Linked DNA regions of Lepisosteus oculatus. The main gene of each other region encodes a partner of the protein of the gene in region 2 in a complex. Links are inferred from orthologs where the notes say so. Each region holds a gene or a part of one and is shown on either strand. Other genes may lie near its edges.

Region 1 (4,010 bases), on a different chromosome or scaffold from region 2:
ACTCCGGTCGCGCTTTCCCCCGCTGCTGTCACTGGCATTGTCCAGAAGCACGACCTTATTTTTACTGCTGGCGTCCACATTATTGCGGATTTTATCTTCATGATTCCAATCGCTATACATTTGGGCCCGGGCGCTGCCGGCCTCTCCCTCGCAGCACGGAGCTGGAGTTGCGGCAGCGGCGGTAGGAGCAAGCACACAAGCTCCGTCGCTGTCGGCGAGCTCACCGCTGCCTCCTCCCCCGCTTCCCCACTCGCCGCTGGGCAGGGTCCCCTCTGCCCCGCCTCCCCCACACGCTTCACTGCCGCTCATTTTAGGCCAGGTAAAATAAAAATACATCGCCGTATCTGGTCGTTGGCATGGCCAGGACTGGTAGGACAGTCAAGGCTCCCGCCGCCCTGCCTCCGTGTCCCGCAGAGACTGGAGCTGTCCTACCCGTCACTCCCACTGCCTCTCTGCGTTTTGTGCTGTACATGGTATGAGGTCTGTCAGCTCACTGACGACCAGCGCGCAGGCGCCTGTCACTACTCTGCAATCGGGGAATATGCCGTTACCTTTAAAGCTGCAAGATGAATATTGCCTTGTTACAATAGTACGATACAATAAAAGCACTTCTGAGTTTATCGTAATTGATTTTGCAAGTATTGTTGTAAACCTTCAAGATTTCTTCAAGATTCTAAACAAGAGGTACAGAAGAGCTCATAAAGAACTTTATATTTTAGTAGCCTACTATCCATTTTTGTAGGCTTATTACAAAATATTATCAGGTAATTAATGTTGTGAAGATATGTTTGTTTGGGTTTGCTTTGGAATAGCTACAAAGGGCGGTGTTTTTTTAACATCTTTCATAGTTTCCATCCTGATATATCATATCTTCTTTTTCTTACATTTGCATGGCTGTCAACCGTAATACTCAGTGCAATATACTCAACTAATACCCCGACACGCCCAAAGAGGGCTCCACAGCCGAAACGTTGTTTCCTTTCCTCTTTTCAGCATGGAATAAACTTTTAACTTGTTTCTTTGCAGCCTACGCATGCTGTCGCAGCTACCTACTTAAACTACTCAACAAATATCCTGTTATACAGGCTGAATTGCGAGATGACGGAGAATGCTATTTAACCCAGATTGCTATATTGAGATATTTTAGGAACAAGTAATAGGTTTATTCCATGCTGGAAAAAATAAGAAAGGGAACACAACGTTTCGGCCGTGGAGCCTTCTTCAAGTGTGAAATATCTCTAAAATACCTCAATTTTTAGAGATATTTTAGAGCATTGTATTACAGACATGTCCCTAAAATGAGTGTGAACTACATTTCCCATTAGCCTTCACTCCTCCCGCGAGGGAGTACCTTCCCAAGGAAGCCCCTGCGAAGCAGGTTGGCGGCTGCGCAGTTCGGTTCTAGGCCTTGAATTGGGAGCTAGGCGGTTGGCTGGGGAGGAAGCGAGGCGAGTAGCACAAAACAATGGCGACAGCAGCAATTGCAGCTGGGGGAGCGGGCTCCGGGGGCCCGGCGGCCGGGCAAGGGGGCAGCGGTGCTTCGACTCTCTCGGTGGGCAGAAAGAAAGATGGGGGCCCGTCTGCTAAGTACTGGGAGAGCTCGGAGACGGTCTCTCAGCTGGAGTCGGTCCGGCTATGGATCGGAAAGCACTACAAGAAGGTAAAGCTCTTCCACCTCCATTGATTCGGCGGCTACATCCGTGCGCCTTGCTCGACAGAGAGGCGCCTTTTGTACGGGCAGTGAAATCGCGGAGGGAGTAATAATGCTCTTGATTCGTTTGGTTTACTTAAGATGGCCCCATTGCAAGGGAAATCGGTTCATTTTTTAAACCGATTTGCGTTCTATCCAGCAAGCCGCTAAACGCAAGCATCGAGGCTGTTGGTCAGTTGTTTTGATGGTGAGGGATGTTGTGTGGGTGACGGTGAATTCAAGTTTTTTAAGTAATTCTTTCTATAATGGAGTGGATTTTTGTACGAAAGGTGGGCAGATAACCGTGATTAAGGGTGGCGCGTTAATGGATCGAAGTATTGGTGTTAATTTTGTGTTTTTCTGAAGTTGGTCGCTGGTCAGCAGGCAAAGGAAGTGGATTTGCCTGGCAATGTTGAAGCCTCTAGGGGAGATATTACGGTCTCACCCAAAAAGACACGGCAAAACACATTTCCGTGGAAAGCGCTGTGAAACTAAAGGTGTGTTTAGGTTAATGTTGATGTACAGCTTTGGTCGAGGGCCAGCAGTTACGGAAAACAAAACCCTAGGCCACACGCATGTGACAGCTGACTTCGTTTCCAAAGTCAGCCCACGGAGAAAAAAGAAAAGGGCCCCGGGTTCGGTGGTGTCGGCGTGCCGGCCGCGGGCGAGGTGGAGGCGGCCGCAGGTGGTGCTGCTCCTCGCAGTTGTGTGACTCCGGGATGCTGCCGCTGTCCAGACACAGCCCGCAGGCTCGAACAAAGAGTCCCGTGTGGATTGTCTGCACGGCAGCTGCGTCTCCTGCCTCCTCAAGCAGAGAAAACGCTTTGTTTCGAGAGCCCCACCGCCTTGGCCGGCATTGCTGGATACACGATATCGTAATCGAAATGCGAGTGTGTGTGTGTGGGGGGGGGGGGGGGACGTGTGATTTTGTAGGTTGTATGTGTGGTATCACAATTTGTACAGATGGCCGACTGGTATTTTTAACGGAGCTACGAAGCAAGGGGGCGGAGATGAGCCCAGATCTCGTGTTGCTGAGCGGTAGTTGCAATTCGACTCCAAAAGCTGCTCTTGATGCATTTTGATCGATTTGGAGTTGAAGGAGATACGTACGTCCCCCCTGCAGATTTACGTGGGAAGGTTACCAACTTGAAACATCCAGGTTTTGACTGGATGCATAAGAGTGCAACCCGTAAAACCCGAATCGGATTAAACTGCAGAGAAGTGGGAGTTTATTTCTCCTATCTATGCTAAAGCAGTGCGTGTCTGAAAGAGCTTCCGGGCGCTGTAGTTTGACAGATGTTTGCTTGTGGCTGTGTCAGTAACGTTTCCTATGCTTAAAGAACTGAAAGGTGGATAGTGGATCAGCTGATATTAAATGATTTGAAGAGTTTTGTATTGCTTGGTTGTTGGATTGCGCTAACCTTTATCTTAGTTCACATGGCTTTTGGGTATTGTTTCTGGTGGCTGTGTTTCTTCTCGCAACAATCCAGACTGAACCTTTATAGACATGTCCGATTACCGTTTTCATTAATAAGTTGAACTGTTTCATCCAGAGGAACTCGTGGATGACTCTGTAGGTACTCCAGAATAGATACGTCTGCGTCTCGCCCAGTGGCCGCACTGCAAATATCCTCCAATGCAAAAGGTCACAGTGTGTGGTCAGTCATATTTTGTAAGAACAATGAGAGAATAAGGGTTTGTCTGAGTGCTGCTGGAGTTCCTGTGGCTCAGTCTGGCCTTGCCAGGGATGTTTAATCATCCATCCAGTTTCTAACTCCTTCGTCCCGTTCAGGATAGCAGGGGAGCCAGAGCCTGTCTTGGCAAGCAGCAAGCAAGAGACAGGATACACCCCGGATGGGGTGCCACTCCATTGCAGGGCAAGCAGGCACAAACACAGATACACACACTCGCACCTAGGGCCAGCTAACCCGCCAGTATGTTTTTGGACTGTGGGAGGAAGCCGGAGCACCTGGAAGAAAGCTGTGCGAACGGGGGAGAACATACAAACTCCACACAGATAGCAATTTCTAGGATTAAGGATGGATTATAGGATGTGATTTACCATTGATCAGTGAGATTCACACCATCCGCTGTTGCACTAAAGTCCAATCCATCATTCAGGATCCCAACCATACTGGCCACAGACTGTTCTCTGGGAAGTGGTACTGCACTATTAAAACACAGACCTCTAGATTTAAGAACAGCTTCTATCCTGCTGCACTACGCATCCTCAACAGCTAACTGCAATGCCTCAGACTCAATACACATCTGCACTATGCACTTTTTGCATAGTCTACCATGTTTTGTTTTTCTCTCACTA
Region 2 (4,010 bases):
TAACAATAGCACTCCAACACAAAACCGAAACGAATTTCCCCCTGCTGTTAAATGAATCAAGAGGAGCCAAGCAAGCACAGAAGACTCAGCGGCCCCGAACGATCATGGCCTGTCGCTCTTTAGATTTTGGTTCATCGAGAAAAACAGACACCGACACCTAGCAAGCTCGTCAGTGCAAGGTGCTCCACTACAGAACAGGGCTCCAGAGAATTGGCATGATCCACATAGCTAATATACTGCCCGACCCCTTCTCATAAACAATCAACACTGAAAAAGCTTTTCGCAGGAGAGCCTATATACTACATCTGCAACTTCATCAACAGGTACAGGACCTGCCACAGCTGTCTGTCTAGACTGTGCTATCATCTACCCACTCCAGAAGGGCTTGCAGATAAAGCCCTACCACTGTGAATCCACATATTGCTCTGCGTCGATACAAAGTACTGCCCCTATATATCCACATATGGACTTAGTGGTTGTAAGTAAATATCAAACAACAAGCTTTCAGAAAGTTTTCCATATGTGGGTGTCACTGCCTCTCGACACGGTCGGGTCCCTTTTTCCAGAAGAACTCTTGCATTGAATACTAGAACTTTGATACAGACTCATCAGTCACAAACAGATGTCTGGGCTCTCCATCAGACCGACAGGTCAAACTGCAAACTGGTGAAGATGTGAATATGCTGCACCTTTTGTGCAGAGAGCAGCGCTACACGTTCAGAGTTCCCTTCTGTTTACGAGACAGAACTGGATATCTTAATCCGATTCACAAAAAGATATAGAATGTGAATGACCCAACTCGAGCAACTCTTGACTCAGTAAATCAGCGCATCTTGTTGATCTTGACGGGCACGATCATTTGAAAGTGAAAGACACTGTGACGATCCAGCATTTTAGCACAAACGCATCCTGATGAGGTGGTCTCACTGCCATTTTCCTGTTGAGTCCTCTTCAGATTGGCAGCGGGAAAACTATCCATCCAGCCCAAGGTTGCAGCGAGACCCAGAGACTATCCTTGCAAGCAACAGTCGCAAGGAACGATTCACCCTGGGTGGGACACCAGTCCATCACACACTTACAACAAGCCCTTGGAGAAAACTCCATTTTCTGCAAATAAAACACTTACACATGGAGGTCACAACAACACAAGGGGTGGGCACGGAGAGGACTGGGGTTGTGCATAATACAGAAAAGCAGAAGGGAACCCAAGACCTTGCGCAACGGGCCGGCACACTTTCTCCGAGAAAAGAAGAGTTTGGTTTAAAACCACTGTTGTGGCGTAAGTAAGGAAAACAGAACATACGTATTTTCCTTTGACAACCCAGATTAGAGTTCCCTGAACCCATGGCTACAGCCCCCCCTACAAAAGCACTTTTTTGTGTAGCTGGAGGCTGCAACTCTAATGGACCCCCCAAATATTCATTGATAAAAGCATCCCAAATTTACCTACACAACCTAACGCTGCTAGAGAGTTTTATGTGGACTCAAAAGCTTACAAAAGCTCTCCAAATGATAGAAAATTCTCAATTAAACACTTGACTTTTACACACCCTGGTAGCTGTAAACCTTTAAGAATGGTTCATACACCGACTGCAGACAGGACAGAATTGGCGACAGGGAAGTTTACCGAGAGCTAAAATGGGGAAAAATTAAAACACCATCCCGGACTACAACCTTTTACAAGAAAGGTAGAGTGCGACGGGGCTATTACAACTTTTAAATAACGTCTGTGTTGTTGATTTGTTAAGTAAAATGTTAATTTTGAGGCCTTTAACCCCTCAGATGCACAGGCTTCAAATCCTAAAGAATCCTTCAATTTGAAAACTCGAGTTGAACTGGTGGGACAGATACAGTCATTTTCAAAGTATAAAAATGACATTTCCTAAAGATAAAACGTACCTGATACTTATAACCGATTGGGGAGATATACATTTAAATATTTCTTCTGTATCTTCTATCCTAAACACGTTATGATAATTTGGAATAAACACAAAATGTCTGTCCAATAACAAAACAGGCAGTCTCAACATTACCAACATCAACAAGGAAAGGAAAAAAAAACGTCTAAACAGCCATAGTAGAGTCTGGCGGCTTTGAAAAGGCGTTTATTCGTGTTTAGGTGCGATGAGTACAGTAATAGAATAAATACATTTAAATTATTTCAGCATCGGAAAAAGTCAATATTAACCTACCTCACAAAAGCTTGTTCTCATTGTAAAAAGAAACACAGTAACGCCTATACATCATTATCAGACGCTTTTATTATGGAGGAAAAAAATGTCTCTCTGAACTTGGCCGTGTGAGAAGGGGGTATTTAAATTCTTCATTTTTCGAATAAAAACTGGAATTTCGTTCAGCTGGATACAAAGGGTGAAAATCGGGAGACAAAGAGCTACCAGCCGGCCATGCTGGTTTCTCTCGCTTAGCCTACGCTGGATATATATTTTAAGTTGATGTTTTCAGAAATCCCAGCAGCGAAAAAAGGCAAAACGTTATTTTTTAAGTGTATTGATCCGCCCGGCCTCCCGTACCCTTCCCGGTCTGTATTTCCCCCATAAAATAATTTCATTCATTCGAGCTGAGCGGTGGCTCACAAGCACACGGACCAAGGAGAAACATCTTTCAGCTGACGAGCCGAGCGCAGGGGAAGGAGGAGGAGGAAAAGGAAAGAAGGAAAAGCTCCAGACCGGCAAACAAATGAACGAAGGGGAAAAAAGGCAAAAAATAGGACCCGTTTTCGTGAAAAGGCCACGTAGAGACTCAACGGAGCAATAATCGAGGGGCGCTTACCAGCTCAGGGCAAATGCAGGTCTCACCGGCGCGTCTTCCCCCTCGCTTTCTGCGGAAACAAAGAGCTCCCTGCTGGCTGCACCCCCCTCCCTCTCTCTGTCGCCTGACTGTATTTCTCCAGCCACACCAACCATAGAGTCTGAGCGTTAGCGCCCCCCCTCCTCCACTCTCTCTCTCTCTGTTTTGTTTTTTCTAAAACCCGGCCGGCTTGTCCGAGCGCAGGCGCAGTGCCGGCACCACTGCAGGCGGAATGCGCCGCGGCAAAGAGGCCGGCCGGTGCGGCTCAGCCGGACGTGTTGGACGAGGTGGGGGATGGGGTTACTCTCAAACAGCGCCGAGTGCGCGTACGCGGCTCGCTCACGTCTTGCACCTGAAGAGCAGTACACTGTCGTTTACCAAATAACCTCCTTTCACCCGTACTCTAGCACCAGAGTAGATTCAGAAATCGCACAGAGAGCGTAAATAGTTTGGTCGCTAAGCGTTTTTACGCAGTAATCGTGCATTTCCCCAGGGTCTCCTATATTCGTATGTTCCGAAAGGTACCTTGGCAACATGTTTAAAGTGGTCCCTGGAAACTATTTTTTCCTCTCCCTAAGTTTTATCATCTGTTAAAAAGTGAGAATGAAGGGTCAAGCAAAATCCCGCTTAGGTCAGAAGATATCTTTTTTTTTAAATGACTAATCAGTTTGGGAAAAAAACCCAGAAGACACCAGGTTCTCGAGAAAAGGAGGATGAGACTGCCGCTGGGTCGCGGGATGGAGCCCCAGCGCTCAGACTCCAGGAAGCCCAGGAGTGGAGTCGAAGACCTCGCCCTCCTCAGGGACCGGCGGCACGTTTATCCCGGCGGAACCGCGGAGCCCGACACCCGGCCCGCGGCCGACGCTGCCTGTCTCCGCGACGGCGCGCAGGCCCGAACCCGTGAAGCCGTTTCCGGGACGGCCTGGACGCACTCAGCACGCCGGCGCTGATTGGGGGAGGGAGGACGGGCAGAGCAGCAGGTGTCTTCTGGCCCTGGCAGCACGTCTCGACCACCATCCTGGACAAGCCTTATGGGAATTCTAGCAAGGACCATGGACTCTCTCAGAGGCTGGTGCCACAGTGCCACTTGCGTGTCTTCCTCCGGCACTGCACCTCTGCCAGGAGACCAGTGCTGCCCAATTACTGACCCTCACCCCCATTCTCCCTACCCAGCCCGTTAGAAGCAGTCGAGGAGAGGCAGT
Region 3 (4,010 bases), on a different chromosome or scaffold from region 2:
ACATTATTATTCATAATAATAATTGCTTACTTATATAGCGCTTTTCTGGACACTCCACTCAAAGCGCTTTACAGGTAATGGGGATCCCCTCCACCACCCCCAGTGTGCAGCCCCACCTGGATGATGCACCAGTACTCTAACCACACACCAGCTCTCAGTGGGGAGGAGAGCAGAGTGCTGAAGCCAGTTCAGAGATGGAGATTATTAGGAGGCCATGATTGGTAAGGGCCAATGGGAAATTTGGCCAGGACACTGAGGTAACACCCTACTCTTTTTAAGAAATGCCCTGGGATTTTTAATGACCACAGAAAGTTGGGAGCTCGGTTTTACGTCTCATCCAAAGGACATTATTGTTCATGATGGCCCCTAATTCCCTTCAGGAGTTTGATATATTTATCGTATATACTGACAGTGACGGTGGCTTTCACTGGGTAGGGCTTAGCAAATGAAAGGAAAAAACAACAGCACCTGAATTATAATAATAAACATTAGGACTCAACTGAATTTCTCTCTATATATACATCCTTTCATGTTTAAAGAAATCAAAATAGGAATGAAGACAGGACAATTTTTAAGATCACATTTTAACAACTGATTTCTAAAGGCAAAGACAGAAAATGATTTAAATGTTGTAGTGTTGACACACTCAGTCCCCTCTGAAATCCAGCACGCCGTGGCCTACGTGAAGCTTCAATTTTTTATTTTTCCAATCTCCCTTGTCCCCGGACCTGCAGTGTCACCCAGGTGAGGCAGGACAGTGCGGGATGACGTGAGACCCCTTCCAAGTGTACAGCGCCCTGCGACCCTTTAGAATGAGAAACCCTGCAGTAGAGCCCGTTCTTATTTTTAAGTATTATTAGCTAAGCATTTGAAAAAGCATTTGAAAAATTCTTCATTATCGATTTAAAAAAACAAAAATTCTCCAGTGTATTTCTCACACAATCCATAACATGGACTTCACGCAAATTCTATCTGAGAGTCAAGAGCGGCACTTTCGAAAAACAAAAGAACGTTAAATCAAAGCTCAGTTAGTATTGTCAAAAACATATATATATAATGAAATATAAAATACAAATTATTTTTCTTAGTCTTTTAATTAAGATTTTTTTTATTTAATTCGCCTCTCTCGCCCCTCGTAGATCTCCTACCTATCTCTCCGGGCCGGTTTGAAACAGCGAATCTCCCGAGTTTAATCGAAGGTTAGCGTGGGGGAGGCAGAGGAAGTGGTGCGAGCGAACAAAGGCTGTGTGGGGGTGAGTGTGTTTTAGGTTCATTTTCACCGTTTTCTACAAAATGTCCAAGTGAAAACTGGCCAGCAAGTGACCCAAAAGTAACCACATCCCAGGCGTTGTGCTGCTGTGCGTGACCATCGACATAGTTTGGCGTATTGGTTTATCTCCATCCCTGAGCCGCCGGAATGTCTGCCGCCATTCATTTGGTGTTGCTGCAGAACATCTGTCATCTTATGGCCTGTTGTTTAATTTGCTTTTAGTTTGATTTTTGTTTACTTGTTAGTATCCAGAGCCCTTTAGAGCCGGCGTTCATCCAAGATATTGTTTGTAGGGGTCAGGAAGATTAGTGTGCCGGTAGAACTCGAGGTTTTCTTTGTTATTGTGAGGCCTTGTGTGTACAGACAACGAGACGGGTCAGTGAGCAGATGTATACAAGCACAAGTCTCTTGAGCGGTGATATCCTCTTTGCAAGGAATGAGCTGTTCAGAGTAAGATCGGCACAGTGTGTTGTACAGTGCTGTGATGAACGTGTCGTTCTCTGGTGTAATAATAATAATTATTCAGGTGTTACTGACAGAACTGCATGTCTCTCTCGTGTTTGTGTTGTAAAGTCTGCTTTATCATATTTTCTTTGCTAGTGAGAGAAAAGCGCCTTTATTTATTGTATATGTATCTGGGCTGCTTTGAGGCTTTGAAATGTTGTAGTACTTTGCAACGAAACAGCTGCCACTGCACAGAACCGTGACTTGGCATCATTGGCGTCTCTAATCAGACTGGCAGGATTGGTTATCATGAGTAGCTCAATATCTCCGTATCCATACCAAACAGTTCAACATGCTGTATTATTTTCTTTTCCTTTTTTTGTTCTAAAAAGATTTATTTATTACAGAACCAATGACCGGAATAGCCTGATATCCTCCATCCATCATCCAAGATGTCAAGTAAGGAAAATTAAATTTCAGTTCATGTGGTTTGATTGTAGTATCAGAAGAGTACAGGTCTCCCTGTCGCCTCCAGTCTCCCCTCCCTGCTGGCCTTTCCAGGCTTGTCCAGAGCTCCAGTCCAGTTCAGAAACTCAGCATTTTCACTGAGCAGGCATTACTCTTGGCCCGCAGGAAAACGTTTTGCTTTTTCTGTCTAAGCAGGACGATGTGCTGTTTGCCAGAACACAAAATGGTAGAAATAAAATCCACATAAATTATTTTTGCCGTGTTCCAAGTTCAGCATTCACAGAGTAGTCCCGCGTTTACAAAAACACCATGGGTCTCTTAGAGCTTGTTTGTAAAAAACAGATTTTTAATTTTAAAATCCCCTTTAATTAATTTTGTTCTGTCCTTTGTCGTCCGTTGTTTTGCGGACAAAAAGAGACCAGGAAGAGTTCAAGAGGGGTGTAACCGGTTTATAAAAGATACTGACATTGAGAATCTAATCCTGTCTTCATGCTTAACCTTTAGTTTAAATGGGCTGTGCGTTAATTTAAAAAGTTTTAGGTGAGGCTGATTTCAGTGAGCAGAAAGGAGTGTTAAAGCTCAAGTGTGTTCTCAGCAATAAACAGACATTTACTTGGCATTGGGCTGACCAGAGACTGATTCCACTTGAAGGTTTTTTTAAAACTTTTTCTGAAGGTTGCTTTGCATTAAAAAAGCTAAATAGTGACCTTGATAGTTTTCTTCAGGAATTAATCTTTCCACTAAATGGGTGAAGAATTTCATAGATAATCCTATGAAGACTTTTCCCTGTGTGTTTTGTGTGTTATGCAGGTCAGCTCTTTGGGGAATATATCTTGTTTTTAAGGTGTGAGTAGGGGGTAGTAAATGAGGTATTTTTGTTAGGGTTGCATGTGCTAATTTCTGAAACACATGGGAAGGGATAAAGGTGATTTCTAGGAGAAAGCAGCTGCTTGAATGAATACTGATAGGCCTGGAAGGACAGAAGTGCCTGGCGGGGATCCCAGCCAGAGAATATATATAGGACTGCTTGGTTTAGCTGATCCGGCTTCAAAATCAGACAGTTTTTCCATTTATTGAGATCTGGACCTAGTCCTTTGCATCGTAGTACTGATAACTGCTCCCCAGTTCAACGGGCATGGTGCCTCTTCGGAGAGTTTCGGTGGGCTGCTTGTAGCTCTGCAGGGTGATCGGTGCTAATTCAAGCAACTCTGCAGCCAGCCGCAGTGTGGGGGGGAGCCAAATCGCCCTGGGGTGTGCCCCGGTTTGCCCCATCCCCACAGGTGCGTTGTGAGCAGTGCAGTAATGGCTCCGTGCAGCTCCGTGTGTCATTAATTTCTTTCCCCTTTTCTTTCATGCAGAAAGGCCATCCTATGCCCCTCCCCCTGCCCCAGCCCCCACCACAGTAAGTATTGCAGATGCAGCACAGAGACAGACGAGGCGGCTCCTTCACTGTGCAAGGGCCTCTGAACCTTATAACAGGCTGGGATCCGGCCTTTGAGTCCGTAAGAAATGTGTTCGAACATCTCAAAGAGATGCAGTCTTCTCCCTCGTTCCTCCATAAACCACTAACAGGAGGAGGTCCCTGCAGGGCTTGAATTTTCCACACTTCATGTGCTGGTGCTGCAGGGCCAGTGAACTGTCCCCTGCAGTTACTGTACTGTGGGTGAAGCGTTCAGCTTTCAAATGCCATTAGTCCTCAGCAGACACCAGTTATGTGTGACTGTAACTCTAAAGTAATGCCTTAGCTGTGGGTATGTTTCCTGTTTGGTTGTAAGCGAAGGTCGTCCTGACGCAAGGAGTGTCAATAATGCCAATGTAGATCACTACC

Evidence for each region.
Region 1: smarca4a (region 2) and smarcc1a share a complex: the UniProt entries of both Homo sapiens proteins name them as parts of the BAF complex. The link is inferred for Lepisosteus oculatus from reciprocal best matches to the Homo sapiens genes SMARCA4 and SMARCC1.
Region 3: smarca4a (region 2) and smarce1 share a complex: the UniProt entries of both Homo sapiens proteins name them as parts of the BAF complex. The link is inferred for Lepisosteus oculatus from reciprocal best matches to the Homo sapiens genes SMARCA4 and SMARCE1.

What each region holds. Positions count from the first base shown.
Region 1 is NC_090705.1:20,050,149-20,054,158, reverse strand, and holds the start of smarcc1a (SWI/SNF complex subunit SMARCC1), read left to right. Parts: upstream 1-1,395; 5' UTR 1,396-1,465; coding exon 1,466-1,660; intron 1,661-4,010. Other genes in the region: KAT8 regulatory NSL complex subunit 1, read right to left, coding at 1-336. UniProt on the Homo sapiens protein: Involved in transcriptional activation and repression of select genes by chromatin remodeling (alteration of DNA-nucleosome topology).
Region 2 is NC_090706.1:16,566,043-16,570,052, forward strand, and holds the start of smarca4a (transcription activator BRG1), read right to left. Parts: upstream 3,026-4,010; 5' UTR 2,791-3,025; intron 1-2,790. UniProt on the Homo sapiens protein: ATPase involved in transcriptional activation and repression of select genes by chromatin remodeling (alteration of DNA-nucleosome topology).
Region 3 is NC_090723.1:9,907,006-9,911,015, reverse strand, and holds the start of smarce1 (SWI/SNF-related matrix-associated actin-dependent regulator of chromatin subfamily E member 1), read left to right. Parts: upstream 1-1,163; 5' UTR 1,164-1,253; intron 1,254-2,121; 5' UTR 2,122-2,166; coding exon 2,167-2,173; intron 2,174-3,540; coding exon 3,541-3,584; intron 3,585-4,010. UniProt on the Homo sapiens protein: Involved in transcriptional activation and repression of select genes by chromatin remodeling (alteration of DNA-nucleosome topology).